Linked DNA regions of Mus musculus: regions 2, 3, 4, 5 and 6 are each reported to be linked to region 1. The links are microRNA targets in miRTarBase. Many come from high-throughput screens and were not tested one by one. Region 1 holds a microRNA gene; each other region holds the end of a gene's coding sequence.

Region 1 (5,075 bases):
AGGACATTTGGGAACGTTTTGTTCATCGAGAATAATAGCTTTTGAAGCACTTACGGAAATCAAAATGTAAGTTTGCACTTTATTATTTGGCTAAGACAGCAATCCTTTTTCTATAGCAGCTGAAAAATATTGTTGTTTTGAGTGTTTATGAACATCCACATGTGCATGTGGGTATGGAGGCCAGAGGTCGATTCCTGAGGCTTTTCTCTATAACTCTTCAACTTTATTTTTTAGACAAGGTCTCTTACTGAATCTTGGGGCTCACTGATGCAGCTACATTGGCTGCCAGCAAGCTCTGGGGATCCCCCACCCCCAGGGGGATTATAGCTCTATACTACCATCCCTACCACTGTCATAGGCATTTTACCAACCGAGCCTCTCCCAGACCCATAAGCATAAACATCCCAACAATATTCCGTTGTATAGGGTACAATAATTTACTTAACTATCCTCAATAATGCAGGTTTAGTTATATTCTTTATTAAGTAATGCTGTAGGAAACACCATTTAAAAATCTTTACTTTCTTTTTATAGCTTTAATTTTATTCAAAAATTACTTTGAAACTTTATTAACACTTTACAGACTGTTTACAATACTGTCAATATCATTATTTCCATAGAAAAGTATTCTCTTTACACTATCAATAATTATGTTTTTATGTTGCTTTAAATATATTTGTTGAGTAAATATTACACACACAAACTGACGAAGAATAATGTGCATTTAAAATTTTGATAGTTCTCTAATTTTTAAGGGCCATGCTGTTTGGAAGTAAAAGGAGAAGCTAAGAGAAAGGCCAGAAAAGGAACATCACTTTCACACAAACAGTGATGCATAAAAGGATGTTCCACAGTAGAGATGTAAAGCATGTTCTAAGACTGTGTTTCTTCTGAGGCTTAGGAATTACAAGGGTTACAATGCCTGTTACATGCACGTTTGGTGTGGATCGGAGTTAAACATGAAGGAGACTGATCACACGCTAACACTGTTATTTTGGGTGGTGTTGAGGACCTAACCTTGGTCCATGCCATCAGTTTTTAAGGCCATATGACTGCTGAAGTTGCAACTATCACATGCAAAGTGTGGGCAAAAGGTCCAAGAGAGGTTCTTCTCAGTTCAGCCAGTCCCTTTGTGCAGCTCTCCCCAATTTTGCTTAGAGTGTATCTTAGGTCAAATCTTAACAAAGGAAGAGGGCCTTATTTTGTGCAGAGCAAAGTTTGGTTAAAAGGGGATGAAACGAGCCAGGAGTGGTGGCACACGCCTGTAATCCCAGCACTCGGGAGGCAGAGGCAGGCGGATTTCTGAGTTCGAGGCCAGCCTGGTCTACAAAGTGAGTTCCAGGACAGCCAGGACTACACAGAGAAATCTTGTCTCGAAAAACCAAAAAAAAAAAAAAAAAAAAAAAAAAAAAGGGCATGAAACAGAAGATTAATGTCAGAATTGCACCTAGGTGCCTAGCAGTCCTTGGCCTGTCCCCTCCTTAGACATGACTGGCAGCAAGCTGACTAGGTTTACCATGGATCTGTTTTGGACTGACTATCCTTTTCTATCGGACAAGAAAAATAAGCATTTCTATGTTGCTAAGTTCTTGGCTTATTTGTAAGTCAAGTGTAGTGAAACCAAGTTGTAGTCAGTACAAGGGTCCCCTTCTCTTCCCAAAGCGGCATAACTTAAGAAGCCCTTTCCCTGAGAAGTACACCCTGTGCAATTACCAACCATAAGCCATGTTTAGCAGTCGGGTGCTGGGCTTGGGAAGACTCCAAGCTTATTACTTTTCATCACTAGCAAGACAGTCAATATGACCTGATGGCCATGATCTCTCCGAGCTGATTTGATTTGCATGGTCAAAATAATATCAAAACAAGTAGCATTTAAATTTGCATCATTGGTATCAAAGGGGGAAAACCCCATTTCCCCCCATGGGACATTCATGAAAAAAGGTGTCCTTCAAGCAGTCACTGTACTGGCACTGTTGCTGCCCAGTAAGGAGGTCGCTGCTTAGAATACTTCAACACAGTTCACTCAAATGACTCAAAGTCTCTTGCATAGTTTAGGTAAAACTTTGATTTATAATTTGAAACACTGTGATACTGTGGTTAAAATGGGCAGGAAATGTAAAATGACATGAGCTAATCCTAAGGGTAGGTTCTATAGTTAAACAGCAAAAGCTTTCAGAAATGCATTCATTGATGGTACAAAGGTAAAGTGGATATGAAGCCAGTGTTTGTGTGAACCTAACAGGGAAAATGTTCAGTTAACCTACGTTAGACCCTTGAGGATGTGTATTTCTAAGCATTATTAGATTTATTTTGGGCTTAAAAATATTTTACCAGTTGTGTGTGTGTGTCCACCAGTTTCTGTGGACCACTGTGTACAGAAGCCTGAGAAGGCTAGCAGATCCCCAGAACTGGAACTGTGAGACGCTGTGCTATGGAGGTGCTAGGAACTGAAAATGGATGGGTCCTCTGCAAGAGCAGGTATGTTAACTGCTAACTCTAGCTCCTTAGGATTTGTCTTTTCACATGTATGATGTTTGCAGGTATGGCTCTACATACGTATGGACACATGTGCACTTAGATTATCATCAGGAGTCTTCCTCAAGAACTCCACCGACTGCTCTCCAAACTCCCTCCCCTGAGTCCAAAGTTTGCTGATACAGCTAGTCTGGCTAGCCAGCTTGCTAGAAAGATCCCATTTTTGCCACCTGAGGGGTGGGACCACAGGCCACAGGCTGGCCACATACTCATTTGACTTTACATGGGTGCTGGGGATCCAAAACAGTCCTTCCACTTGCATAGCAACTTGGTTAAACCACTGAGCATATCCCCAACCCTCATTAATTTTATGTTTTAGGAGCCTGTTGCTACAGTACTTACAAAAATATCAGCTTGATCTTGTCCTGTATAAATCTATAGGCACTTGACTTACTGATTTCAAACACTTCATTCACACATAAAGCTAATACTTAAGAGATACATAATCAAGTACTTATCACACTGAAAGCTCTGAGAAGCTCTGTAGTGAATATTTGTTTAACTCTGATTCTGCTATTCTGGTAAATTATTATAGTCTAATTATGACTTTAAGTAAAGCCAAGAGAGGGACACAACGGAGGCAAATGGCTTCCAAGAATCCTGAAGCCGTCGTGAGTTCTTTCAAAAGGCGCTGTTTGCTTATCAATGTAACATTTCCATGTTTCAAACAGAGAACCTCATCAAGCCAGTTTGCTTTTATGGTGATGTCTCTGATGCTGAAAGAGACCAGACTTCTGCCTGAAGGCTTCATTGCATTCACTGCACTTGTAGGGTTTTTCTTCATTGTGGATTCTAACATGCTGATCTAAGTGTGAATTTAGGCGGAAAGCTTTCTGACACACATTACATTTGAAAGGTTTTTCTCCAGTGTGAATCCTATGATGTCGAATAAGGTCGGAGGTCAAGCTGAAGGCTTTCCCACACTCATTACAGTGATGTCTTTTGGAACGACCATGGACTCTCTGATGGTGGGTGAGGAGGAGGGCCCGACTAAAGGTTTTCCCACACTCCTTGCATTCTCGGGGCTCATCCTGACTGTGAATTTTTTGGTGTCGATTAAGATGAGAGCTTCGCCTGAAGTTCTTTCCACAATGGATACACAGATAGGGTTTTTCTCCAGTATGGATCCTGAGATGCTCCAAAAGACCTGCATTCTGGCTAAAGACTTTTCCACACTCTTTGCACTGGTAAGGCTTCTCCCCAAGATGGATTTTCTGATGTCTGATGAGGTGTGAACTTCTCTGAAAGACTTTCCCACACTCTTGGCAGGGATGACCTTTGTCTTTAGAGATTTCCTGATGGTCAGCAGCAACAGAACTCTGAGATCCTACAGATTCCCAGGACATTTCTCCTGTATGTGCCCTGTCATGTTCAATCAGGCCTGAGTTCTGAACAAGTCTCTCCTTAGTTTCCAAGCATTGGCTGTTAGTTTTTTCCTTGGGCATGGCTGGATTCTTTTTCAAGCTCAGGTCCTCACACTGGGCCTCAATGGGTTCAGTCATGGTACAAGATGATTCCATTCTTCCACAAGAGTCTGTCCCTGCAATGAGATTCCCATTCTCACTCCTTGTCTCTTTACCTGAAATAGTAAATATATATATCACTAATTATTTTATTTTTGGTGTTCAGGGAAAGGAATCTGCAAATAGCAGGAAATACTTAAATAAAGCCATGTGTATAAATGTAAAAACATGTTATGTGTGTTTTATTTGCATGTATGCATGTACACAACATGCATGCAGTGCCAAGGAAACCGTAAGAGGCTGTCCAGTTCCCGGAAACTGGAGTTACAGAATGTTGTGAGCTGCAATGTAGTTGACAGGAACTGAAACCAGATCCTCTGTAAAAGTTTTCTTAAGAGATGAGATCGCTTCAATCCTCACAAAGTAAAAAAACAACAACAAAATTTTGCTCATGATTATTTTATATATATATAAAGAGTGATTTACAAGAAACTGTGGTTTTGTTTGTTTTTTTTGAGGTAAGTTTTCACTATGCAGAATAACATGGCCTAACCTAATCCTCTCCTCTCAGGTCCCACAGTTACAGCACCACCACGTCCAGCCTGACATCTGGGAAAGTGTTAACCAGATTGGCTTTGGGGAAGGGCAGGGGTTGTGGTGGGAGGTGATTTATTTTAAATGTTCTATATTTTATTATGTGACATATGTTACACACACAGAAGCTACTAAGCATGACTGCATATTCTTGATCATGATTTGTCACCTGGGAAACAAAAAAGCACCATAAATCAGGTCACCCGAGGACCATCAAGTTAAGCAGGGAAGGTACTTTGACAAATGAAGATGAGTTGACATGGTGCCAATTTTATCACTGAGTAGTATGTAATCTTGGAAAAAGTGTTTACGTTCTTAACAATAAATCAACAGTACCGGGAGCATAAGACCTTGAGAATAATGCATTCACAAAAACATCATGTTGAAATATGATTTGTTCCCCTCAGAGGGGATCTATAGCAGATTCAGGGCACAAAACAAAACTTGGCTCTTTAACTATGGAAAGAGAGAAAGAAGCCAGAA
Region 2 (5,066 bases), not on the chromosome of region 1:
CTACTGGATATTTTGACCACTCTCAGAAGACCCCAGGATATTTTGATTCTGTATTTATAGATAAACAATTAGACCAGCTATATAAGTATTGAGAAGTGATTTTTGGCAATACAAACACAGAGTAAAATTTTTTTAGCTAATTAATTTTCTATGTATGTAACATTTACCATTTTTATATTAATCATGTATGTGTGTGTGTGTATGGTGCGTATGGTGTGTGTCTGTCTGACTGTGTGTATTTGAGTGACAGCAAAACATCCATATGTATAAAATAAAAATAAATAAATCTTAAAAAGAAAAAACCAACAAGGCCCAGTATGGTGGTTTGTATGTGTTTGGCTTAGAGAGTGGCACTATCCGGAGGTGTGGCCTTGTTGGAGTAGGTATGGCCTTGTTGAAGGAAGTATGTCACTGTGGGGGTGGGCTTTGAAACCCTCCCTCTAGCCATGTGACAGCCAGTCTTCTGTTTGACTTGCTGTAGAACTTTCAGCTCCTCCAACACCATCCCTGCTTGGATGCTGCCTTACTTCCTGCCATGATGATAATGGGCTGAACCTCTGAAGCTGTAAACCAGCCCCAATGAAGTGTCCTTTTTAAGAGTTGCCTTGGTCCTGGTGTCTCTTCACAGCAATGGAAACCCTAACTAGGACACATGGTCTGAGTGTGGAGGTCAGAGGACAACATTTAAGTGTCAGTCCTCACCTGCCACCTTATTTTGAAGACAAGTCTCTCTCGTTTCTTTGCTTCCCTTTGCTTCTAGGCTGGCCAGCTCTCCAGCTTCTGGGCCACTCTCTGCTTTCCACTTCAACTAGGAACACCAAGTTGACAGTGCTGTCATAACTGGCTTTTGGTATGGGTTCTAGGGATCTAAATGCTGCTGCTTAGGCTTCAGCAGCAAAATGCCTTATCCACTGGGCCCTTCCTGTGGCTCTTTTCTAGTAAGTTCCAAAGTAGTCTCTCCTATGGGCTTAATATATCATTTAAAGTTTACAAGGAATATTTTATGTATCATAGAATTTCTTTTCATTCATAGTTCAGCTTCTATTTTGCCCAACCACAACTTGTTATCACTATAAGCTAGCTTTTGCAGGATGTTCCTAGCTTCTCTCAGAAGGGTCCCACATCTGTTCCAGCTGGCTCAGTGTCCTAGTCAGGGTTTCTATCCCTGCACAAACATCATGACCAAGAAGTAAGTTGGGGAGGAAAGGGTTTATTCACCTTACACTTCCACATTGCTGTTCATCACTAAAGGAAGTCAGGACTAAAACTCACACAGGGACAGGAAGTAGGAGCTGATGCAGAGGCCGTGGAGAGATGTTACTGGCTTGCTTCCCCTGGCTTGCTCAGCTTGCTTTCTTATAGAACCCAAGACTGCCAGCCCAGGGATGGCACCACCCACAATGGGCCCTCCCCCCTTGATCACTAATTGAGAAAATGCCTTACAGCTGATCTCATGGAGGCATTTCCTCAAGGGAGGCTCCTTTCTGTGATAACACACAAAACCAGCCAGCACACTCAGGTAGTATCTATTGCAGAGAAAAGTCTCAGGAAGCTTATGCACTGCTTTGGTACCGCTACACTGGAGAAGGCCCAAGGAAGAGAGTTCCAGGCACATTCTACTGACCTCAGTTTCACTGTCAATCATTTTAAGTATATTGTAGTTTAATTTTTCTCTCTAAAGCTATATTCATGGAAAAACCAGATGAAAGCAATTGTTAACAATTCCGCTCACTTGTGGGTGCATTCATGCACATATGTCCTGTGCCCTGCTAGTGAGCCACACCCTTACAGTCTTACCTAAAAATTTCCTCTTTTTCTCTCTGTCAGTCTTATCCCCGTCCTCTTACAACTAATATACTTCCTGAAAATTATTTACTTTGTCTTCTGGGGTTGAGAATTGAACCCAAAGCCTTATGTGTGCTAAGTAGATAACTAAACCCGAGGCTGCTATGTTTTTAATTTCTGTTTTGGCATTTGGCTATTTTGCTGGAGCATGTCTTGCTAAAACCTTACAAATGTCTGATGACTAAGTATTGTTGAGAGAGAGAGAGAGAGAGTGAGAGAGAGAGAGAGAGAGAGAAGAAACAAGCAAAAAAGCACGGCCAATTCTTATTACTTCTTTACAACCCAAAACCAGACTGCAGCTGTTCTTGTTTTGATTTTGACTGGAAGCATCAATGCTGACAAGTACTTTTCCACGAGACTTTACAAAGTGGTCAGTTTGGTGGGCTGTTGCAGCAACTTTTTTAGTGACCAATCACTGTACAAAAGAAGGCTGAGACCACAGGCAGTCAGTCGCTTGAATGCCAGTTTGGATTATCTAACTCAGGGATCCACAAAAGCAAGATGGTGGCAAGGATCATGACACAACGTTCATCTGCACCAACACCTTTCAACCTGAAGCCGTGCCTCTATTGTTCTGGCTCACACCGTCCTCTGCATTCCCTTCAGAGTGACTGACTCAAGACTGTCATTGATCCAAACATTCTCAAAGAACGTGTTGCCTCTTTGGAAACAGCAGAGCAAGACGGCAAACTTTGCACAGACCTTTCTGTTTGCTTGCTACTGTTTAACATGGAAGAAAAGCCAAAGGGAAGGGGGATGCCTGGAAACAGATTCCAGCGGAGAAGACAAAGACCCAGGAGCTTTCTAAGTTGGTTAGCCATGATGAAAATGGGTACCTCATACCCACCAAGCTCATCTTGATTTACATCCCCATTGCTTTGCTTGTTCATAAGTGCAAATGGTAAATAAAATCAAGTTGTCGAGTCAACGTTTAGGTCATGACAAGTTTCCCTTGTAAAGGAAGTCATTTCCTACCATCTTGACTTTAAGGCTACAAAAATCCTTGATGATCCCAGCAGACAGATCAAATGGCACACAGTGCTTAGTATTAGTGGATGCGGAACAGGTTCTCAGCATACTGAGAGTAATGTGTGATGTGTAATATCTGTCTGATGTGTAACAGGTTTGTTGCCACCTGACTCTCTGACTTGCAAAATAGGAAGTATTTCACAATGCTTCATATCCTTGCGTGCCATGAGCTTCCTGCTCTAGGCTACAAGCAGCCCCCTCTTCTCTCCCAGCGGCGGCACACTGGCTTGCTGGTATTTACTGCCTTGCTCTAACAAGGCTGATGGTAATTTAATTTCTCCGGCTTTTAGCTTGAGATGGTGCTACCCTGCTCCGTCTGTTTTCTTGTAGAGTTCTGACATCCCAAGGATGCGGTGTGAACTGTCTCCCCACCCACCTCTCTGCTCTCTCTGTTGTGATGGTGGAAAGCATCCTGGGGACTCAGAAAAGGAACCAGCCACAAACCTCCAGGCCATTTAGATCTTTTGTCTGTTGAACCTTAATGAATGAAATAGCCACCATACAATCAACATTAACTTCAATAATCTTTTTTTTTATTACCTAAAAATGACAAGCCAAATCAGTTCAATACTGACCATGGCAGAAAACACAAATATCTCACTAAAATAAATACTAACACAGTGGAGATGAGTGAGGCACTTGCCTTGGGCACAACATTTAGGGAGGCATTTTAAAAAAATCCCTCAGCAATCAAGATAAATGATATTTTATCCCAGTAGGTTAAAAAAAAAAAAACAAAACCCCAAAATCAAAAAACAAATTTTAACTCAAGAATCGTCCACAGTGCTTTGCAGAGCCATCTTGGAACTTAGATGAAAGAGAAGATAAGATGAATCCTGTTTTGTCCAGAAATATGATTTTTCTGTGGTTCTCACTAGCTTTATCCTGGCCCCAAGCCTGCTCGAATGTTCCCAGCAGGCAATGTCATAGCCCTCCCCACCTCAATAGTAATTCAGGGGACAAAACATTGGCAGTTATTGTCAAGTTTAATTGCCACCTCTAGTTGACTGACTAACAGCCATAATTGAGGCCCTGCTTTGGTTGTCCTTTCAGTTAAAAGGTGTTTCCCAAGCCCAGAACTAGTCTTTTTTTGGTCCCTATAACCTCAAGATACCTTATTACCAAAAATCCATTGCACAAAGCACTACTAACCCGCTTGGAAAAGCGCATCTGACCCAATCCCTCAAAAATTCCGCCGCCCACGGTAGTTGCCACGGGTTCTCTCCTTGCTAGTCTTGGCCGAAAGTTGCCTGTGTGTCTTCTTCCGATATTCCACTTTAGTCCAGCCCCCTTCGCTCACCCTGCTCTCCTCTTCCCCTGCTTTGGAGGCAGTCTCAGGGTGCAGAGGCATCCCGGGTATGGTCCTGGGCACACGGCGGTCATGGTCATTTGGGCTCCTCTTGAAGTCAGGGGACTGATGAGTGTTCAGCGCTGACTGGGGCAGCCTGTAGAACTTTCCAGAATATCTTTCTCTTGAAGGTGTGGAATGCTGACTTTTCCCACCATATCTTCCTTTCGGGGAAGAATTGAGGGACACACTACCACGGTAGTACTTGTTTCTGCTTCGGTCTGAGTAGCGGCCCCTCTCGGAGGAGCTGTCATTGAGGCTGGAGAAGCCGCTGTCCCTGGAGCTGAGGTTCAGGGAGGAGAAGTTTCTGGACAGCCCATACTGCGTGGGGGAGGAGCTCCGGGAAGGGTTGATGCTTGGTGTAATCTGCTGGTACTTCACCGGAGTCTGGGTCCTCCTCACCGCAGCAGCATAGGAATCCTGGTTGGCAAAGTAAGGGAAGAAAGGAGACCCCAAGATAGGGTTGCTTTGGGAACGCTGTAGAGAAGTGTGGGATGCAATCTGCCGCATGCGCAGAGTGTCTAACCATTGGCAGTCCGCACCTGCAGGGGAAAATGGAAATGAGCATCTTTCATGCCACAAAGCTGCATGCCTAATTCATAAGCCTGGCTCAGGCAATCAATCTCAAGGCTGCTTGGGGGCGTGCCAAGCATTGCCATTCATGGAAGTTCTAGGTAGGTACACGGGGACCTTTTTCTTTACTACCACGAACCCCTAGTGGGAAAGGTACATTGTCATTAAGGATGTAATATGGTTAGCATTTTTTTTTTTTTTTTTTTTTTGCAGCCATGGTCTGACTGTATTAGAAACTTCACATACATGGAACAGTATAGTATCACAGCAT
Region 3 (5,065 bases), not on the chromosome of region 1:
GTCGAGGCTCCACTTCACATGGAGAGTCGCTAGCAGAGCACCCTCTCTCCAGAGCAGCCTCTGTAACGCTGGCTCTTTTCACACCAGGTGAGCTGGATACGCTCTTCACCGCTGCTGGCCTGGAGAAGGTGCAGAACCTGGTGGATCGCCGCTTGCAGGTGAATCGAGGGAAACAGCTGACCATGTACCGCGTCTGGATTCAGTGCAAATACAGCAAGCCTCTAGCACTCCGCTCCAGCCAACATGTGCCCATTCCCCACGCCACAGAAAGTTCTTCACATTCGGGGCTTTTGTAAGAAGACATCTGTAGACAGCGGCTTGTTGATGATGGACAGTCTGGGGATTCAAGGAGCTCTAACTTTGAGCCTAAGAACAACTACTTTCCGGTTTTTAGCCAGGTGCAATGACACATGCCTTTAAACCCAGCACTCAGGAGGCAGAGGCAGACAGATCTCTGAGTTTGATGACAGCCAGTGATACACAGAGAAATCCTGTCTCCAAAAGCAAACCAAAAAAGTGTGGTTTTATTTCTAAAGCCCATTAATGCGTATTTTCTGGAGTTCGTTTTATTAATATCATTGGTCGAGGCAATGCCCTGGTGAATGTGGGGAGTTCAAAGGGCAACTTGCAGGAGTCAGTTCTCTCCTACAGGCTGGTCCTAGAATTCAGACTCAGGCTTGACAGCAAACACCTTGAGCTTTTTGACTGCCCTCAAATTTTTTAATGACTAGAGTTTTATATAAAACTCATTCTGTGACCAAAAATGACCTTGAAGTTTAGATCCTCTTGCCATCATATTGCAAGATGATGATGGTCCACACCTTTAATCCTAGCACTCAGAAGCCAGAGACAGGCGATCTCTGAGTTCAGGGCCTGCCTAGTCTACAGAGTGAGTTCCAGGACACCCAGGGCTACACAGACAAAAAAAGAAAAATAAGAAAGGAAAAAGAATGCTAACACATTTGAGAGTTAAGAATTTAAAATCCAAGCCTGGCCAAGTGTGGTGGCTCACAGCAGAAATCCCTGCGGGTAAAAAGCTGAGTTAGGCCGGGCGTGGTAGCGCACGCCTTTGATCCCAGCACTCAGGAGGCAGAGGCAGGCAGATTTCTGAGTTCGAGGCCAGCCTGGTCTACAAAGTGAGTTCCAGGACAGCCAGGGCTATACAGAGAAACCCTGTCTCGAAAAACCAAAAAAAAAAAAAAAAAAAAGGCTGAGTCAGCACAGGGATCCCGTTAAGATCAAGGCTAGCCTGGACTGCACTGTAAAACCATCTCACAGATGGTGAATATGGCTCAGTGGCATGAGCCCTGGAGCCAGCCAGGTACGGGGTGTTAGCTTAATCTAAATTGGCATGGGGGGTCTGAGATAGGAGAACTGCCTTCAATTCCAGGCCAGCCCAAGCTACATGGTGAAAGCCTGCCTGGCTTGTTTGATCCTGGGGCAGGATGGAGGTGATGCTGTGCTCCGCTGCAAGGTGCTGGATTATGAGGGCCTTTTACTGTCTCCAGTATTAGCACTAGAACGAAGGCTCAGCAGGTTTAGGCACTTGCTGCCGAGCGTGACAGCCTGAATTCATGTCCCCAAAACCCACATGGTGGAAGGAGAGAGCCATCATGTGCTGTAGCATGTCTGTGTCCTCAGACATACGTACCAAAATAAAATAATTTTCTATATCTTTTTGGTGGTGTGGCTTAATTTAGATGGTGTTTGATAGGTTCCCTCGCTGTCATCTCTAGGGCATGAGAGCACTCTGGCTGTGCCATCTGTCACCCTATTGACCACCAGGATTTATTGGTTTGCTCTGGTCAGCTAAGCAGGTGTCCCCTTTCACCTTCACCATCAAAGAGCTGGTCTTCTGTCCCCTACTGAAACCTCCACACAAGCTCAGTTATCAACTGTTGTGTAGGAGAGTTCCTTGACACATGATCCCTGCCACACATTTCCCATGGTCTCTGTCCAAAGGGTTTTAGCTGAATCATTCTAATAGCTGCACGTGGCTCTACAATTAAACCTGACGCGGCTGAGTTTCCTGAAAACAGTTGGGTTGGGAAGGTGGCTCCAGCTGCGAAGCTGCCTAGAAAGATTTGCTTAGGTGTATCTAACAGAAATGCTTCAGGATAGCGGGGCATGGTGGTGCACGCCTTTAATTCCAGCACTCGGGAGGCAGAGGCAGGCGGATTTCTGAGTTCGAGGCCAGCCTGGTCTACAAAGTGAGTTCCAGGACAGCCAGGGCTACACAGAGAAACCCTGTCTCAAAAAAAAAAACAAAAAAAAGAAATGCTTCATGAAAAGACTTATCTTCCTACGTCAAGTGCCAGCCATTCAGCTGGAGAGAGAAAGTCAATATTCTTTGAAAACTGAAGGATGGTTTGATGTGGGGCAAGTACAGAGAGCTGTTGGGGTGAAAGGCATGCCAGGTCAGGGTGTAACTCAAGTCCTTGCCAGTGTGGATTCTGTGGTGCAAAGGTGATTCGTCCTGAGCCTGACCTCTCTCGGTCCCTGTATGGGGGAGGGGGGGTGTCTCCTGTCTTCCTTCTTGCTCTCTTTTACTCTTGACTGGAAAAGTGGGACCCTGGAAATTTAACAAGAGGAAAGCTTAGTTCACGAGACATTTAATGTTCCTATAATTTGATTCCTGTCCTTGGAGACATTGGCAACAGTCAGGGCTTCTCTGGAGTAAAGACGAGCACGGGGCAGTTTCTTTCATGCTGTTGACAAAGGCCTGTTTTTTCATTGGTGGCTATAGCTGCTACGTCCAGAGGTCCAGAGCCCGGCTGCATCAGGGCATCACAGGTCTCCGCTGCTTCATTTGATCTTCAGGTTGTGATTTGACAAACTTGGTGATGAGCTTCCCAGTTGAGATGGTGATGTGGTACCCTGCTGCCTCTGCAGTGAGCAGTCAGCCAAGGTTCACAACTCAGAGGTCTGCTGGCTCTAATCAGTGGGCCATGTAGACAATTAAACATGACTGAGTTTAGGGGCAGAAGGCCACATATGGTTACTTGTTCCACAGAGGGGTTTTAAGGCACAGTAGCCAGAATATTCATCCTGAGATGAACCCAGATCCATCATTCCCCAGTTTCCTTTCCATGAGATAGGATTTCACCATTAAAATAGAAAATATCTGGTTACTTGTAGTGCCACACACCTTAATCTCAGTGATCAGAAGGCAGACAGACATCTAGATCCCTGCGAATTTGAGGCTTGCCTGGTCTACATAGAGAGTTCCATTCTAGCCAGGGCTACACAGAAAGACTCAAAAAGTTTAAAAAGATTCATATATATATATATGTTGTGTCCGGCCAGCAGATCACAGGCCTGGGTTCTAGCCTGGAAAGGCATTTTAAAAACCTGGAAGAGAAGAAGGACTAGGCAGGCGAGAAAAAGATGCAGCTAAGACAGTCATTCTGATCAAAGCTCAATTTTACTATTCTGCATGCAGTTATGAAGCAGGGGAAGGGGGCCCGATTCCTGCCAAATAATCTTGGAGTCCAGTAGCAGGGTGACCACATGATGGCTTCGGAACAGGAAAACGGCCCGGCCGGCTCCAGCGGCAAGCTCTACCCCTGAGCAAGCAGGTTTCAGGCTGGGGGAGGGGAGACTACATATATATATATATAGAGAGAGAGAGAGACAGAAAGATAGACAAACAGACACACACCTTCCGGGCCACTTGGGTCAGCGGGTAAAGGCTCTTTTTGTCTTGCTGCCAAGCCTGTCAACCTGCATACCTAAGTCTGGTCACCAGAACTGATGCGGTGGCAGAAGAAACCCATCCTCTGACTGCATCTGTTTTTAGCAAGTTTTGTTTTTTGTATGAGTGCACTGTCGCTGTCTTCAGACACACCAGAAGAGGGCATCGGATCCCATTACAGATGGCTGTGAGCCACCAAGCGGTTGCTGGGAACTGAACTCAGAACCTCTAAAAGAGCAGCCAGTGCTCTTAACCACTGAGCCATCTCCCCAGCCCCAACCTTAGCATGTTTTAGTAGAGTATCACCCAAGAGAATAATAGTTGTCAGATTCCCATTGGCCCAACCCAGAATGCTGGGTTGTTAGTTCAGCTGGAGACTGTTAACCCTAGAAACAACACAGCTTGGAAGAATGGGTTATTAATCTGGGATATGGGAGTGACAGTGGAAGGGAGCTCCCTGAGAAGAGATGCTGCCAAACTTACACCAGAAGTTGATGGTTAGCACATCAGGGCATTGGGTGGGGACAAAGGTTTGTCAAGCTAAGGCTGATCCCAAATCTCTTATCCAAATAAGCAGAGCCCTTGCTGAACAATCTAAATGTGCTAACATTTCTTGGAATATTTGCTATCCTTACACACACACACACAGTCTTGTACAAACTAGGCAAATGCTATACCATTGAACCTATGTCCCTAACCTTGACTTTAAGACTGAAATGTAGAGCCAGGCATGGTGGCTTTATTCCAGCACTCAGGAAGCAGAGGCTAGCAGATACATTTGAGTTTGAGGCCAACCTGGTCTACATCATTCCAGGACAGCCAGAGCTAACTACAAGGTCCTGTTTCAAATAAAAAGACTGAAATTTATGGTGGCACATACCTTTAATTTCAGCACTCAGAAGGCAGAGGCAGGAGGATGTCTATGAGTTCAAAGCCAGCCTGGTCTACAAAGGAAATTCCAGGACAGCCAGGGCTACATAGATCCTGTCCCCTAAAACAAACATTTGAAAAAGTCTTTTTAAGAGACTAAAATGCCTTTCAGGCGGGTGTGACACTGCCTACTGTAGTCCGAGAACTCAAGGTGCTGAGGATGGAGAACTGGAGGGCAGCCTGGGTTATAGTGATAGCCTGGGATGTGTGGTGAGGTGGAGAGGGAGGGTGCTCTTCCTGTCTCTGTCAGGGATGTAGGTCAGTGACAGCTCTTGGCTAGCACGTATGACCCCTGGGTTTGATCTCTTAGGCACACATCCCCAAAGGTTGTTTGTTTGTTTGTTTGTTTGTTTGTTTTTCAAGACAGAGTTTCTCTGTAGCTCTAGCTGTCCTAGAACTCACTCTGTAGACCATGTTGACCTCAAAGTCACAGAGATTCAC
Region 4 (5,069 bases), not on the chromosome of region 1:
CTAGCCTTCCAGGAGCCCCTGGCAATGGTAAGGTAAGTGGGGTGTGGCATGGGGCTGGTCAGTCAGACATGGGGTGAGTCTCAAGCAGAGCCCTAATGTAATAAGATGCCCAGGTAAAGACAACACCAGAAAGAGGGAGAAACCCGAGGCACAGGGCATGGAGTGGGGGGAAGCAGAGGAACCCTAGCTGAGCTGTAGACAGTGAAAAGCAGTTATGTCACAGGGTGGCCTGAAGTTCTGAGTAGGCCAAGCCTTGGGGGTGGGGGTCGGGGGTGGGGTGGAGCAGCATCCTGGCAATCCCTGCCCAAAATCTGGATGTGCTTAGTTGGTGACCCATTTACTGGAATTTGCTGTGTGCTGTTTAACTTCGGCAACAGTTTTAAATAATGAGCCGGACTACACCCTGCCCTGCACAGAGTGCACAGGAGGGTCAGCGTTCATTTGGGCTGGTGGGCACAGGAGGACTGAGCCTATCGGCAGGCCCTACCGAAGAGAAGCCTCCCGCATCCTTCCCCGCACCCGGAGACTGTTAAGAGTTGATGGCCGTGACCTTCAGGTTGTAAATGCTGGGCCAGCACCCAGAGGCTCACCCTTATTCTCCCGCTTCAGGTGCTCGATCTCCTCGTGGAGTTTGACTAGCGTCTCCGAGTGCTGCTGCTGTAGGAACTGCAGGCTCTTTTCCAGGTCCAGGATCCGCTTCTGTGCTTCGCTGAACCCGAGCGGAGGCGGCTGCGTCCCCGCGTGCTGCAGGCCGGCGGGAGGGCGCGGGCGTAGGCGGGCCGCGCCCCGGGAGCCTGGGGCCGCGGAGCTGAGGGGCCGAGCCCCGGCCGCCAGCCCGGCCCCGCTCATGAAGGCGTCGCCGCCGCTCAGTACTGGCTGCTGGAGCCTGGCACTCGGTCGCCTTGGGAACCGGCGCGCCGGAGAGGGCGGGGCGCGCCGCGGGGCGGGGCCTGCGGCCGCGTTCCGCAAAAACCAAGGCGCCAGACTCTTGAACTGGTCCGGAACAGTAGTTCTTATGAGTGCTGTGTGCGGTGCGTGTGCCTGTGGAGACCAGCACTCGACGTCCGGTCTCATTCCCCACCTCATAGATTTTGAGAAGAGGTCTGTCTCGTCTTGTGACTAGCTGGGCTGGCCCGTGAACCCCAGGATCTTCCCATTTCCCCGGCTTCCAGCGCTTAAGATCCCGGGTGTGCGCCTTCCCTCCCCACTTCTCATGTGGGTGCTAGGGACCCGAATTTAGACCCGAATTTCTCCTGCTTGGGCAGAAACCACTATACCTTCTGAGCCATCACCCTAGCCCCGCTTGTACTTTTGAACCAGGGTCTCACTCTGTAGTGCAAACTAGCTTGGAATTCATTGTGTAAAACCGGGATTATAGATGTATGCCAAAGCACTGGCTTTTTTGTTTTTGTTTTTCGAGACAGGGTTTCTCTGTATAGCCCTGGCTGTCCTGGAACTCACTTTGTAGACCAGGTTGGCCTCGAACTCAGAAATCCGCCTGCCTCTGCCTCCCCAGTGCTGGGATTAAAGGCGTGCGCCACCACCGCCCGTCGCACTGGCTTTTAAAGTGGGTCTTAGTCTTTCATTTTAATAGCTCACATTTTTGGATACATAGTAATAGTTTCACAAATCTTCCAACACTCACTGAATCTTTGTGTATAAATAGAGCTGTCTGAACCAACACAAGAGAACCGGCCAGCCCACTTCTTTAATTCCAGCAAATGGGAGACAGAGGCAGGTGGATCTTCCAGAGTTCCGAAGTCTGCCATAGTGAGTTCCCGGAACAGTCAGAGCTACACAGTGAGAACCTGTCTTCAAGAAAACAAAAGTCCAGTGCTTGCCTTTACCTAGAGAACCCAGCCAGCAGGATCAAAAACAAGAAAGTCCTGGCTTTCTAGACTTTAGTTTTTTTTTTTTTTTCATTTATGCGTACCCGTATGAGTATATTCTGTGGGTGTGCATGTGTGAGCATTGAGCCCCGGAGCTGGAATTACAGGCAGCCTTGGGTGTCTGCTGGAAACCAAACTCAGGTTTTCTGGAAGAGCAGGAAGCTCTCTTTCTTAACTGCTGGCTCATCTCTTATCCACGTGAAAACTAGGCCACTTACTTTTTATGACATGGTAGATTTGTTTGTTTGAGACATAGTTTAGCTACATAGGCCAGGCTGACTTCAAACTCAGAGATCTGCCTCTGCCTCCTTTCTGAATCCTAAGATTAATGCCTGGTTTGGAAACTTAATTTCTAAGAGAAGGCTATGCAAAAGTCACCTCCCAATGGGTCAGTGTTTGACACTTGTCTACCATGTCCATGTCCCAGAGGTCCATCCTTTGCACAGCAAAAAGCCCGATCTACATAGAGTTCCAGGTCAGCAGAGCTACATAGTGAAATCCTGTCTTCAAAACAAACACACACAAATAATAAAAAGATCATTTCAAACTGATCCTTGAAGCTCATACCTATAATCCTAGCCTAGGATACAAAGTTTCATTACAGACTACACAGTGAGATCTTATCCTAAAAATAAACCAAAACAGGGAGATGGCTTAGTTGAGCATCCTATTTTATTTTTTGTTGCTGCGATAAACACCGTGATCAAAAGAAAAGCAAAGTGGGCATCAGAGGGTTTATTTTAGCTTATAGGTTAGAGTCTATCATGGACAGATGCCATGAAGGAACTCAAGGCAAGGCAGAAGCCTGAAGCAGAAACCAAGAGACTGCTTGGGGCTTTCTCCCCAGCTTACTTTCAGCTACCTTTCTTATACAGCCCAGACCTACCTGCCTAGGGATGGTACCACCCGAAGATAGCTACATCAATCAAGAAAAGGTCCCTTTCCCAGGTGAATCAAGTTGACAACTGAACGCTGACAACTGGTGACACCTGCTTTGAGGCCTAACCTAGTTCCATTCCTCAAACCTCTGACCTATGTCCATACATGGCACGCATGCATGCACTGCATCCCCCACACTCCAATAAGTCAGTCTAAAACATTAAACTCTGGGGGCACTTGAAGGAGTAAGACATGACCTGTGTGTGTGTGTGTGTGTAACTGTCAAGAGAAAAAAAATTTAAAAAAATATTCATCTCATAAATAAATACAGGCTAGGTAAAGAGTTGGCACAAGCCTTTGATTCCAACACTTGGTAAGTGTACGTGTATCTCTGAGTTCAAGGCCAGCCTGGGCTACACAAGAGTAACTATCTCTATCCCCCACACAAAAGATAAATATTGATAGGGTTGTTGGTAAGGGCTAGTCATTCAGCTCTGACCAGGGGAATTGGAAACAGTGGGACACTCAAAAGGCAACTTCCCTTCCCACCACAAGGAGGTTGTACTCCTGGGAAGATGCTGGCCTGGAGCTGGCTAGTATAGGTCAGCCCCATCTGCCCATGACTCTAAGATTCTGGAGGCTGAAGAGATGGCTCAGTAGTTGATTAAGAGCACTACAGAAGCCTGGAGTTTGGTCTCCAGCACCCACCCACTCCCTCTTCTTGGCCTCCTTAAATGCATACATATGATGAACAGACACAAGCAACATTCACTCACATAAAATAAAAATGACACTGTTTAACAAAAAGGAAGTTTCTGGAAGCCAATGTGGTATTTGTTCTGGATGACAGCCAGTTCTGAGGTGTTAAGCAGGGAAATCAGTTCTCAGGGCACCACAGGGCCTGCCCCCACCTCAGGGTTAGTCTGCCTTGTCTTGTTTCTGCAGAAGTTGAATCCAACATGCCCTAGGCATGAAAGGGGACTTTCAGTCAGAAAGAACTCCATCACGAGGTAAGGAGGTACCGTGTCCAGGAGCTTGCTCCACAGTTCCCAAATGCCCAGGGACCCTTGGCAGGTAAACAGGCTAAAGATTCAGCCCAGACAATCTCCGAAGCAAGAATGGTTTATTCGGATCCTTGTTCAGTTATGTTTTGAGCTGACTTTTGGTCATGGGTCCCATGATGTATTCTGAAGTTACATCGAAATACAAAGCCCAGTGATAACTTTGAAAAAAAACAGGTTGGTATTTTTTTTTCTTTAAAAACAGCTACACACCCACAACAAAAGGGCTGGTTTAAGAACACCTTGGAGATGGTGGTGTTCACCTGCAGGGTGAACTTGAGCCCTTTGGTGTCTTAGCTTTGATGTGAAGGTGTTTTTTTCATACAGGTGTTGTTACAAATGTGACGCTCCCTTAAATTCCTTAGTTTTACAGGCAAAACCAATGCTTTTTTGCTTTGTGTCCACAGAGGCTGGCCAGACCAAGCTCCAACCCCAAGCTCTGTCTCTTAGAACCCTGCTTCTCCCCTGGAGTGGATATTGAGCTGCTTGTGTGCCCTTGGACTGAAGGTGAGGAGCCATGGCCAGCACTGATTGTCTTACACAATGGCTTATGAACCTTCTGACACTGACCCTTCTGTGTCAGGCCTGCCTGGATCACTCTCCCTTCCAACTCTTTGTTCTTTTGAATAACTCCACCACTGCAGGGAAACTACTCCCAAGAACACTGAAGATGACCTGCCCCTCTATTCCTGGCTTCTAAGCAACCTGCCACAGTCTGCTCAGGAGAGGATGGCCAGCAGCTCAGAGCTGGTGCAGCTTCCCCCGTTCAGTGAGCAGTGTCATAGCTATGGCATAGAGGACGTATCCTAGGACCAGGAGCAAGGAGCAGGACAGGGGCCCAATGCAGAACAGAGAAGCCACAAAGAAGGCCATCAGGAGCAGGAGCAGTGTCCGGTAACTGCCCAGGAAACGGAGGCTGAGCCTGGGGCCCCGTGCAGGATTGGTGACCTGCCTCCGCCCTACAGGGCTCAGCAGATGTCTGTTGCTCAAGGCAGGCTCAGTGAGGTGGTAGCGACAGAAGCTGCCAAGGAAGTCATTCCGGGAGCACAGAGCTGCCATCTGGCCTGCAAACTAGAGAACAAACAAGGACTCAGCAGTTGGAGACACAGAGCACCCTCCCTTCCAGGATGCCTCTGGGACCAAGTGATTCTCACGCAGGGCCGTGAAGGGCAGGATGCTACCTAGGGCAGGAGCACTCTCTGGAAGCTATGTCTAGGGCATCCCAGCTGTCCCTGCTGCT
Region 5 (5,075 bases), not on the chromosome of region 1:
TCTTTAATAGCATATTGGTTTCTATAAGCAGCAAACGAAATTCCATTGCATGACATACACAAGAGGCCTGCTGTCTTCAGATGTCTGTCATCTTTTCTATGTGATAGTTTCTCCCCAGAAGTTTCTCCTTACACTCTACTTCAGATTCAGTGAGATTTCAACTCTAGTGGGGACTGTTTTCACTTGAGTTCTGGTTAAAGTTTAAAGGACTCTTTAGAATAGTACTAAGTGTGTATTAAAAAGTAGAACATACTATACTACTATATTCCCAGGTAATTTCCTTAATTACTTTTAATTTAAAATAAGTCTTTTAAATGAGTTAAAATTATGATAATTTGATGAATTCAACTCCTTTTTCTCTTCCTAAAAAATCCAATATAAATCTGGCAATGATATGCTTGGGGTATTATCTTCATTCATACGTGCACTAATAACTCTGCTCCAATTGTTATTCAGACAGAAAATAGGTCCATAATTTAGATGTTACTCTTCATCTTGAAACACAGTATACCAAGGCCACGTTAGTTCAGATTAGTAAAACTAGTAGTGCCTTCCACTGTAATGAGCAGTGGGTACAATAATTACAGACAGTAACGTCAACAGAATGGTAAGCTACAATTATTTTGTAATTGGACAGTAATCATCAGATAGACAAAATAATTTTGCAAAGCAATGTAGTCATAGATGTACATTAAGAAAAATTAGAACAGAGGAGGTTTAATGTTATTTTTGAGATATTTGAGGATATGGCTGATCTAATGCCAAACATTAAAACAAACAAAGAAAACCAGGCTGAGACTGAAGATGTTTTTAAAAGTTACAAATTGTTGGAACAGGAGTCCTTATGTATGTATGTATGTATGTATGTATGTATGTATGTACACACACACACACACACACATACACACACACACACACACAAAACAAACCATTTCCATGAGAGCTTTTCAGCAAAAGACAAAGCTAAGCATTAAGCAACAACATATACATTAGTACTAAAAGGACTTTTCAAAGGAAGGAAAATTAAGGATGAACTGGTATTGGGAGAAAGTATTGAAATTGAGATTAAATTTCTGCAAGCAGTTAAAATTCTATCCATTAAAGTGTATGAGTATTTTCCTTGATTGCATGTCTTTATACCAGGTATGTGCACAGTGCTAGTGGAGGCCAGAAGAAGGCATCATATCATCTGGAACTGAAATTACCAATGGTTGTGAGCTGACATGTGAGTGCTGGAAATGAACCCGAGTCTTCTGGAAGAGGAGTGCTTTTTAACTGCTAAACCATTTCTCCAGCTTCCAATGCTTTTTTTTTGTTTAAAGTACAATTTTTTTCCAAAACATTAATTTGAATACTGTTTTCCACAAAGCTGAAATGGGTGAGGTGGGTGTTTGAATAGTTATTCTGTTAAATTTTAGGCACTCTGATGTGATCTTTTTGTTGATTTATGTAAGGCTTTGTACTTTTCATTTTCTCAACCTTGTCATTGTGTGATGTATGGTACATTTTAGCATCAAATTTTCCATAAGCAATAAAGACTGAGACCCAAAGAAAGATTAATATTGATTTTCTGAATTTTAACCCAGGCCTTCCATTATTCAGTTACATTGTTTGGGACTTCAGATCTAATTGGTATACTTTTAATACTTAAATCAGTAACTTATTATATAAAAACATAAAATTTAAGTAAATTATTTAAAGTTATCATTTTATAAGTTGAGTGTCTAAATGATATATTGAAAATGTCCACTACCAATCTCTATATTTTGTATTTTGCACTCCAGTTTTCTTACACACTTTTGTCCAATAATAACATAAGAAAGAGATGTAAACTCGTTTATAATATGTAATGGAAAAAACATCTCTAAAACTCTTCATGAAGAAGAAAGTGAAGTTTGAAAAATGATAGTTCATTAGAAAAGTTATTTTTAAAGTTTTAGCTGGTATTTTTAGATCTCCTAGATGTCTCAGATGACAAGAAAATGAAAAAGGACTGGCTCACAAAAATCTGCAAAGCAGTAGAAATGATAAATGCCTAAACAACTGAATAACGTTACAACAGAAAACAAAGTCAGCATTGAGGCAATTTAACTTGTATGGTTAAATGTAAGTATTTGAATTCAACACTGGCCCATTGGTGTGGTGCCAACAGTTTACAAAGGTCAGGGGAGGTAGAAAGTTGTGGCACAACATAGGAGCATCAATTTTTTCTAAGCAAGGATGCTCATATGGTTCCCGGAGACCAAGTGTAATGAAAGATCTTAGAGCATTACGACATGTGCTTCTGGTATCCGGTTATAGATAATGATCTTATTAATGTAGATAACATTGTATGATTTCATGCAGGGATCCAGACACTATAAAGCTTTGGTTCTCAACTTGTAGGCCTTGACCCCTTTGGGGTTCTAATTATCCTTTCACAGGATATGCCTTAGTCCATCAGAAAAAACAGATATTTACATTATGATTCCAAACAGTAGCAAAAGTTATAAGGCAGCAACAAAAACAATTCTATGGTTGGAGGTCACCACAACATTTAGAATTAACTGTATTAAAGGTTGCAGTGTTAGGCAGGTTGAAAACCACTCCTATAAATGGAAAATGAAGGAGCTTGGGCAGATACAACTTTAAAAGGGGTGATGGACAGGACTATGAGATACGTAAGAGATATATGGAAGTGAAATAGAAAGGAGATCGTTGCTCCTTACTGTGGATACAATGGGATTAGCTGCTTGAGTGTCAGCTCATTTGCCTTTAATGATAGATGCTAGTCCAGAACTGTAAGCCAAACAACCCTTCCTCCACTAGGTTGTTTTTTTTGTTTGTTTGTTTGTTTATTCCTTTTTTGTTTTTGTTAGAATATATATCATAGCAATGCAAATAAACCTAGCACACTGATGATAGCATATTTATGCTCTTTGGTAGTCATACAAAGGAACTGACATTCACACAAAACTTGTACATGAATGTTGATAGCAGCTTTATTCATACTTGCCAAAAAGTAGAAACAGCCATAACAAGAAGTGAGGGAATCGAAACACATATTAGTAAGTGAAGGATTGCTACCACACAATATTCTGAAGAATGCAAAACTAGAGAGCAGAGAGATAGTAGTTGTCAGGAGTCAGAGCAGACCGAGGATGGATAGGTGGAGCACGCATGATTCTTTTTTTTTTTTTTTTTTGGTTTTTCGAGACAGGGTTTCTCTGTATAGCCCTGGCTGTCCTGGAACGCACTCAGTAGACCAGGCTGGCCTCGAACTCAGAAATCCACCTGCCTCTGCCTCCCAAGTGCTGGGATTAAAGGTGTACACCACTGCCTGGCTACGCATGATTCTTAAGACAGTAAAACTATTGTGTTATAGGAGTGTAATGATGCATATATGTCTTTGAACATTTGTTAAATCCCGTGGAATGTAAAACCACAATTGTGAGATCTTATATAAACTATGACTTTTTTGTTTTGAGCCAAGGTAATCTAGGCCACCCCTCATAACACTGCTCCTGCCTCAATCTCTCAAGTTCTGGAATTATAGGGGAGCCACCACTTCTGGTTAAAGGCGGACCTTTGATAAGGATCTACCAATGTGAGTCTATCAGTTACAAAATACCTCTCTCTGGAGTAGTACACTGATATAAGGCAGACAGTGCTCCAATGGAACAAAACACATACATGGGCACTTTGTGCTTTTCCATTCAGTTTTGAAGTGAACATAAAATTATTCTAGTCTTTTTAATATATAAGTTATACATAAGTGATATTTAAAAATTCTTTAAAACCAATCATAACATACTCAGCTATTTATGATAATATTTCTGATTATCCAATGCTGTTGAATGTTTCAAACAATGAATATATAAAAAACAAAAAGGGTCAATCGCTGCACTGACACCTGATTACAACGAGCTTGATTGTCTAGATCAGAGTCTTCTTTTTCTGATGCCTCTTTTCGTGACATGGGATGTGGAAGAGAGGGAAGAAAAGAGTCAGACAAGGAAACGTTAGACAGAGAGCTGGAGCGAAATCAAAGGGCAATACAGGGGCATGTGACACAAAGGCCACGAGACTCGAGACTCCTTACAACATGAAAGTAAAGTGGAGATAGAGGATGGTGAGAGTCAGAGGATCAGGGAGTTTGCTTCTTTCAGGAGTCTCCGGAGCTGCACCCATGAAGTCTCATCAACATGGCTCCTGAAACATGGTCTGAACAAGGAGGGTATTGACAGACATGCTAAAGTAGATGAGGAAGTTCATGAGGGAAGAGCACACCAACTGGTTATCCAATAGCAAATGGTCAACCCTGAAAACACAATACAGGCCATGCAATACAGTCTGGGCAGGCTGTATTTATGTATTTAGGAATGTGTGTGTGTGTGTGTCTAGAGAAAGAGGAGGGCACAGACAGAAAGACATATATACATGCACACACAAATGCGCACAGAAATGCGCGTGCGCGCGCACACACACACAGAGAGAAAAAGAGAGAAAGAGACGTATAACAACACTAATGAAAACTGTGTCCATAAATTGGAAAAGGAGTGTGTGTGGGGGTGCGTATATTGTAGGGTTTTGAGGAAAGTACGGGTGGTATAATAGTAATCTAATAGGAATTTAAAAAATAAATTATTTTTTTTAAAGAAAGTAAGTTGAAGAAATATCAGAGAAGAGTTCACTGAAATTCTTCCAGTTATTCAATGGTCCCAATATATTTTTTTAAAGAAGTAAAGAAAAAATGTAGTAAGAAATGTGTCATAATAATTTTAAAATGCAGCATAAATGTTAAGAGCTGTGTATAGAGTTAGCTGTTTCATCATCCGCAGGTACTGACGACACCTACAAGGAAACAAAGGAAAGTGAGACATATTTGTTAATGTCAGTAATACTCTATCATAAAGAAACAGTAGTTACCTATGGTGGGCTAATGTGAAATAGCAAGAGAAGCCCAGGGAGCTACTTGCGTGAGGCTGCATTTGGAATGGAGGAATGAATCAGCAAGAGATTCGTGCACTAGTTTCTTAGCTGTGCTCCTGGCACCAAAAGGAGAAAGGAGCCGAGGGTTAAGGTGAGGCTCCATT
Region 6 (5,075 bases), not on the chromosome of region 1:
TGGACCTCCTCCTGGCCGAAGAAGAAGGCCCAAAACAAGGCCTTTCTCAGAAGCTGTGTTGCTTTGGCAGTTCCCAGAAGCTGTCAGCTTCTGTGGTGCAGACACTCACCTGTGCAGACTAAATTCCTAAGTTCCAGGGAGTCCTGGAATCAAGATGGCGACCGCTGCTGCTGAGGCTGAGTCTGCCTCCCAAGCCAGGCGGACACCTGTCCTCTGGTCCGGACGGTGGCCGGCTGTCTGCGGCCCACCAAGGGTGCTGCCTCAGCGGCTCTGTGCTTCTGCCTGTCCCAGAAGCTGTCCGGTTCTCTGGCGCACCCTCTCACCAGTTCAGACTAATTTCCTAAGTTCTGCTGAGTCCCGGAACCAAGATGGCGACCGCTGCTGCTGAGGCTGAGGCCGCCTCCCAAGCCAGGCGGACACCTGTCCTCTGGTCCGGACGGTGGCTGGCTGTCTGCGGCCCGCCAAGGGTGCTGCCTCCAACCTGTATATTTCTTTCTGCATGTTATTGCCATTTAGACAATACAAATTCTCCCTATTCATGAACATGGGAGTTCTTTGCATTTTCTAGTGTCTCCTTAAATTTCCTTCTTGAGTTTATGATTTTCTCTGTTAGACTCAGGGATTTCAGGTTGTTCTCATTTCACACCTGGTCTTCTTCTCACGGATAGATTCTTTCAGTCTTAAGATGATTCTCTGGTGTGCGTGGTCAGGGTTGTGTATTTTATGCCCCTTGAGATGGCCAGGTGTATGCGTGAAGAGAGCAGTTCTTCCAATGGGTCTCATCGATGTATAAAAGATTCTGCCAGTTGGTCTTGAGACAAGATTGACTCCAGGGAGACTGATTTTTTCCATGTCAGACGACATCCTCTGAAGCTCAAGGAGATGTCGACAGTGATCAGGACCCTTGTTGGCTAACTGCCTGTCACAATGATGGACAAGGTAGGGAGTTTTTATTCTACTAAATGACTATCAGTGATTCAGTGTCTATACTGGATGATTATTTAGGGATATATTATTTTTAACATGGCATTATTTTGTCTGTTATAATTTTGTTTGTTTATACAGTTTTAGAAAAGTGGCACATTTTCAATGCCAGCCTTCAAATTATTGTAATTAATACATCTCTTCCATTTATGGGAATAGTATTAAAGCTCCTTATTGAAGTAACATATTACAGGAAAAAGATTCAATAAACTGACAGAACTCTAATGCTGTAGATGGTATGTCCATGGGAGTCAACCTTTAAATAAAAACATGGAGGGAGAGAGATACTTTATTTGGGAGTAAACATAGGACATTGGGGTGCAGGATAAGATGCCATGGAGATTGCTGGAGGCTACTGGTTAAAGGAAACTTAAAGGCAAAACCATCAGGATTGTTCTTAAAATGCTATTTTGAAACACCATTCATTGACTACAAGGATCAGTTACATTGGTTCAAGTCTGAAAAGATGCTGCCAGACTGGAATCCTCCCAGAATATGCTAATTGCATGTTACAATGGCACTTGTAGAAGGATGTGATTTTGACAGACTCCTTTGTAATGTTGATTCCCTTCTTATAACTCTCTTGACATTACTTTTTGCTTCAAATGGACTCAAGTGACTTAATTTGGGTTCTGGTAGCTTTCACAGTGGCCAAAATGTGACAGTATGAGACAAGTGAAGATTCCAGAAACAGGGCAATGTAGTCTACACTGGTGATGTATAGTGGCAAGCCCTGGAAAGGGGATGTATGAGGTAGAACTTTCCCAAAAGCCCCGTCCTCATACCGTCTTTTCAAAAAAAGTCTGCAAAGCCAGGTGGTAGAATCTGAGTCTCTTGACTTCTCAGGTTAGTGTTCTCCACATGGCCCAACCCTGTCATAAATACAGCTAAGTGTAGCATGCAATGGGACATGGCTTACCCATATCTCAGGCCTGTCATCACGTGCACTCCACTAAAGTGTTGGATAAATTGATGAGTGTAGCGAGGCTTGTGGAGTTACTCTGAAGGCATCTGGCAGAGGATGGCCAAATTTTAAACTTACTTAAAGCATTATGAGATTTTTAGTGCTTTCTTTCTTTTTTCCTTTGTTGTTTGGTTTTTGGTAACCTGATTGTCTAGTACTAGAGAGTGAACTCCGTAAATAATGCCATGTTTTAAAAGTAAAACTTTGGAAATACCTAAGAGGCTAGTTTTATTTTATTTGGGCAAAGAAGTTGTCTACACTGTGTTCCCAGTCTGAGATTTTGCCTGTGACTGAGATTAAAGGGGGCTTAAGTAAGCTGGTAGTGGAAACTTCTCACTGAACAGCATTCAAGTGGACCTTGGTTTTTGGTAGGAGCTGTTAGCTCTGCTTACAGTGAGAGACAGCAGCAAAATGTAATAAAGAAACATGCAGGTTGATAGCAGAAGTCCATTTGATGTTGGGAACAAGATAATTATGGGAGATGACAAGATTAAAGACTTAATTAGTCACAAATTTTCATCTGTAGGAGAAAGAAGCCTCATGGGCATTGCAGGAATTGTTCAGATCCCATGTATAGCCCTCAAGAATCTAACATGTTTCCTTGAGAATAGAATTTTCATAGTTCCTGTCTTGCAAGCCATGAGAGAGGGAGAGGGTGTGTTTCCCTGCCTGCTGACCTAAGCACTAAGGAGCTTCTACAGCTAGGCTCTAAGGGCCTCTCTGCTCTACCGTCTGGGGACAGCCATTGGCATCATCCATGATGCTGGGTCTTCAGGCACACAGAATGCAAATTATTGGCTCATGGAATCCTTGGCATGGATTTCAAAGGAAAAGCAGACAATGTATGCCATGTCAGAATAACCACAGACTGTGGAACCACTCACATCCTTATGTCCATGTGTCCACACATGTGGAACCTACAGATGTCCTCTGTAGAACAGCTGCAGTAAGAGCAGAGCCAGCTCAGAGAGATCATATGCACCACAACCTTCAGGTCTATAGAGGAGGAGATTGTAGCCTGTTGGTGCTATTTTCTGAATAGAATGTGCCATGCCATAAGACATATAAGTCTGTGAATATAAAGGGTCTAGTAATTTGCCCTGCTGTCTTTCAGTCTTCCTTTGCCTCCATTACTACTTTATGGGCCCCAAATCTGTCATGGGACCCAGGAAAAAGTAGCAAAAAACCATCTCCCCTCTGCCACAGTGTGCTTGGGAGAGCATAGACATTGGGTCAGTCAATCATCTATCCACCTCCTGTGGAGGTGGCATCTCATGATGTTGAATCTCTCTCCATGCTCCCTTCTCTAATGTATAAATGAATTATTCTTAATATAAATGTAAGCAGTGAATTAAGCCAGCGGCTATATTTCTTTATGTTAATCCCCAATAATCACACTGGTAAACCAATATTTATTTAAAAGTTTGCCTCAATAGCTGAGTAATTTAATGATCTACCTTTACTTTCTATGCTAATCCAGCTGCCTCTCACCCGGTTGATACTTGCATATTATTATTGATGTGGCTGCTCAGATCCCTTCTTGGTGGCTCTAATTTCTCCATCCTGCCCCTGATATATGAATCTCCCCCTCCTCTCCTCTTCCTCCTCCTCCTCCTCTCCCCTCTCCTTTTCTCATTGGCAGATGTCCTGCCCTATTCCCTATTCTGCTCAGCCACTGGTCAGCATTTATTGACAAGGCAGTGAATAAGTGGCAAGAAATGTTTACACAGATGTGAGACAGGAGATACTTTATATAAGCATTACAATGCCATGTTCAGAATGAAACAAGACACAAAAGAAGAGAAATGAGCATTTGAATAACACAAGGGTAAACTTTATACAGTGTACAAAAACATTATTAGTACACTAATGTATATAGATCCATTTTGAGCCAAAGACAGAGACTCTGGTTTGATTTCTAAGGGAATGTATTTGTGATGTCATTAAAAATTGAAAGCATATGGCCAGTCAGTTGTGTCACATGTCTTTAATCCCAGAACTTGGGAGGCAGAGGCAGGTGGGTCTCTGATTTCAATCCTAGCCTGGTCTACAGAGTGAGTTCCAGGAAAGCCAGGACTACACAGGTAACCAAATAACAAAAACCAAAAATTTGAAAGCATAAAATCAAATGTTTCTCCCTATTGTGTCCCACTGGTGTCAGACGATTGATTTTGGAAACAATATCTGACAAAAAGTCACCCTTTTCTTAGCTCCAGACTCTCAAACATGACTGGGCCTCCTGATCACAGTTCAACATGTTCCCTATGGGATGACCTCTCTGCTGTTTCCTTGGCTCTGAGCTCAGTCCAAAAGTCCACTTCCTTGTCTTTCAGCCTATGGGCTGCCTGTGCTGGGACTCCAATCTGAAGGTATCCTTCCTTCTGGTCATATTCTGGCCAATGAGGCAGCCCTTCACCATTAGGGTTCCTGTAAACAGAATAAAAAGAAATTCACCAAGATGTACAAAGATGCCCAGGCTTATCTCTGCCAAGAAGCCTGTAACCTTCCACAGATCAAATGGACAGGTGTCTAAATCCTGGCACACGGGTTTGTTTCTTTCTTTCTTTCTTCCTTCCTTTCTTTCTTTCTTTCTTTCTTTCTTTCTTTCTTTCTTTCTTTCTTTCTTTCTTTCTTTTTTAAGTTTGTTATGATATACATCTTGCATTCTCTGCAAATCCTCACGTGTTACAGGCTGGTATTGAGCTAGAAGCTAGTGGAATAAAGGGTGGAGTGTAGTTAGAAGAAGCAAATGCTGGCGACCTTGAGTAGTGCTGGGGGTCCCACTCCTTCCTGTCATAGCTTCCTGACTGCATGCTGCTCTGCCTCATCACAAGCCTCAAATTAAAAGTCCAAGTGAAACTCAGAGCTAGAATACAACCTTCATTTAAGTGAGTGGACTTTGGGCATTTTGTCAGTCTTTGAAAGCTAACATCTAAAATTGCTTCTGAGAAAGGGGTCACTCTATGGTTAAGCTGGTATTGTAGTTTGTAATAATTTTTAATTGGTTTGTGAAGGAAATTGGAAGTTTGGAGAGCATGCTGCTGCAAACTTAGAATAGGTGAGTAGGATATTCTAGATTCTAGTGGGTTCTAAAATGAAAGAAGTCAATGAAGCCAAGCTTGTGACA

Evidence for each region. Region 1 holds the annotated microRNA mmu-miR-1896 (CUCUCUGAUGGUGGGUGAGGAG, at 3,494-3,515, shown strand). A microRNA usually pairs through its seed, bases 2 to 8, with sites in the 3' UTR of a target mRNA and lowers its output. Matches are read on the target gene's strand: a 7mer-m8 pairs with bases 2 to 8, a 7mer-A1 pairs with bases 2 to 7 and ends in A, and an 8mer does both.
Region 2: the mRNA of Map3k20 is a reported target of mmu-miR-1896. The part of its 3' UTR that is shown has no 7-base or 8-base seed match.
Region 3: miRTarBase lists Mettl2 as a target of mmu-miR-1896. Seed matches in the 3' UTR shown: 7mer-A1 at 482-488 and 7mer-A1 at 1,164-1,170.
Region 4: miRTarBase lists Smpd4 as a target of mmu-miR-1896. Seed matches in the 3' UTR shown: 7mer-m8 at 3,157-3,163.
Region 5: miRTarBase lists Dph6 as a target of mmu-miR-1896. Seed matches in the 3' UTR shown: 7mer-A1 at 3,203-3,209.
Region 6: miRTarBase lists Ces1g as a target of mmu-miR-1896. Seed matches in the 3' UTR shown: 7mer-m8 at 3,971-3,977.

The regions. Positions count from the first base shown.
Region 1 is chr13:21,441,716-21,446,790 of GRCm38, forward strand. It overlaps Mir1896 (microRNA 1896), which reads left to right and starts at 3,445; the gene lies at 3,445-3,525. Zscan26 (zinc finger and SCAN domain containing 26) reads right to left here. Exons shown (of 6, transcript NM_001347491.1): 6 at 465-4,114. The coding sequence ends at 3,216. 4930470G03Rik (RIKEN cDNA 4930470G03 gene) reads left to right here. Exons shown (of 4, transcript NR_151504.1): 2 at 1-66; 3 at 2,356-2,478; 4 at 3,207-5,075.
Region 2 is chr2:72,440,930-72,445,995 of GRCm38, reverse strand. Map3k20 (mitogen-activated protein kinase kinase kinase 20) reads right to left here. Exons shown (of 20, transcript NM_023057.5): 20 at 3,386-4,764. The coding sequence ends at 4,058. Among named protein-coding and RNA genes, the nearest start is that of Gm39847, 21 kb to the left of the region's middle.
Region 3 is chr11:105,139,474-105,144,538 of GRCm38, forward strand. Mettl2 (methyltransferase like 2) reads left to right here. Exons shown (of 9, transcript NM_172567.3): 9 at 88-1,673. The coding sequence ends at 296. Among named protein-coding and RNA genes, the nearest start is that of Mettl2, 16 kb to the left of the region's middle.
Region 4 is chr16:17,642,305-17,647,373 of GRCm38, reverse strand. It overlaps Smpd4 (sphingomyelin phosphodiesterase 4), which reads right to left. Exons shown (of 19, transcript NM_001164610.1): 19 at 2,544-4,900. The coding sequence ends at 4,571. It overlaps Ccdc74a (coiled-coil domain containing 74A), which reads right to left and starts at 904. Exons shown (of 8, transcript NM_001166164.1): 1 at 591-904. The coding sequence starts at 849.
Region 5 is chr2:114,513,460-114,518,534 of GRCm38, forward strand. Dph6 (diphthamine biosynthesis 6) reads right to left here. Exons shown (of 9, transcript NM_025675.5): 9 at 2,959-4,833. The coding sequence ends at 4,780. Among named protein-coding and RNA genes, the nearest start is that of Gm31146, 86 kb to the left of the region's middle.
Region 6 is chr8:93,298,714-93,303,788 of GRCm38, forward strand. Ces1g (carboxylesterase 1G) reads right to left here. Exons shown (of 14, transcript NM_021456.4): 14 at 3,656-4,375. The coding sequence ends at 4,192. Among named protein-coding and RNA genes, the nearest start is that of Ces1f, 22 kb to the left of the region's middle.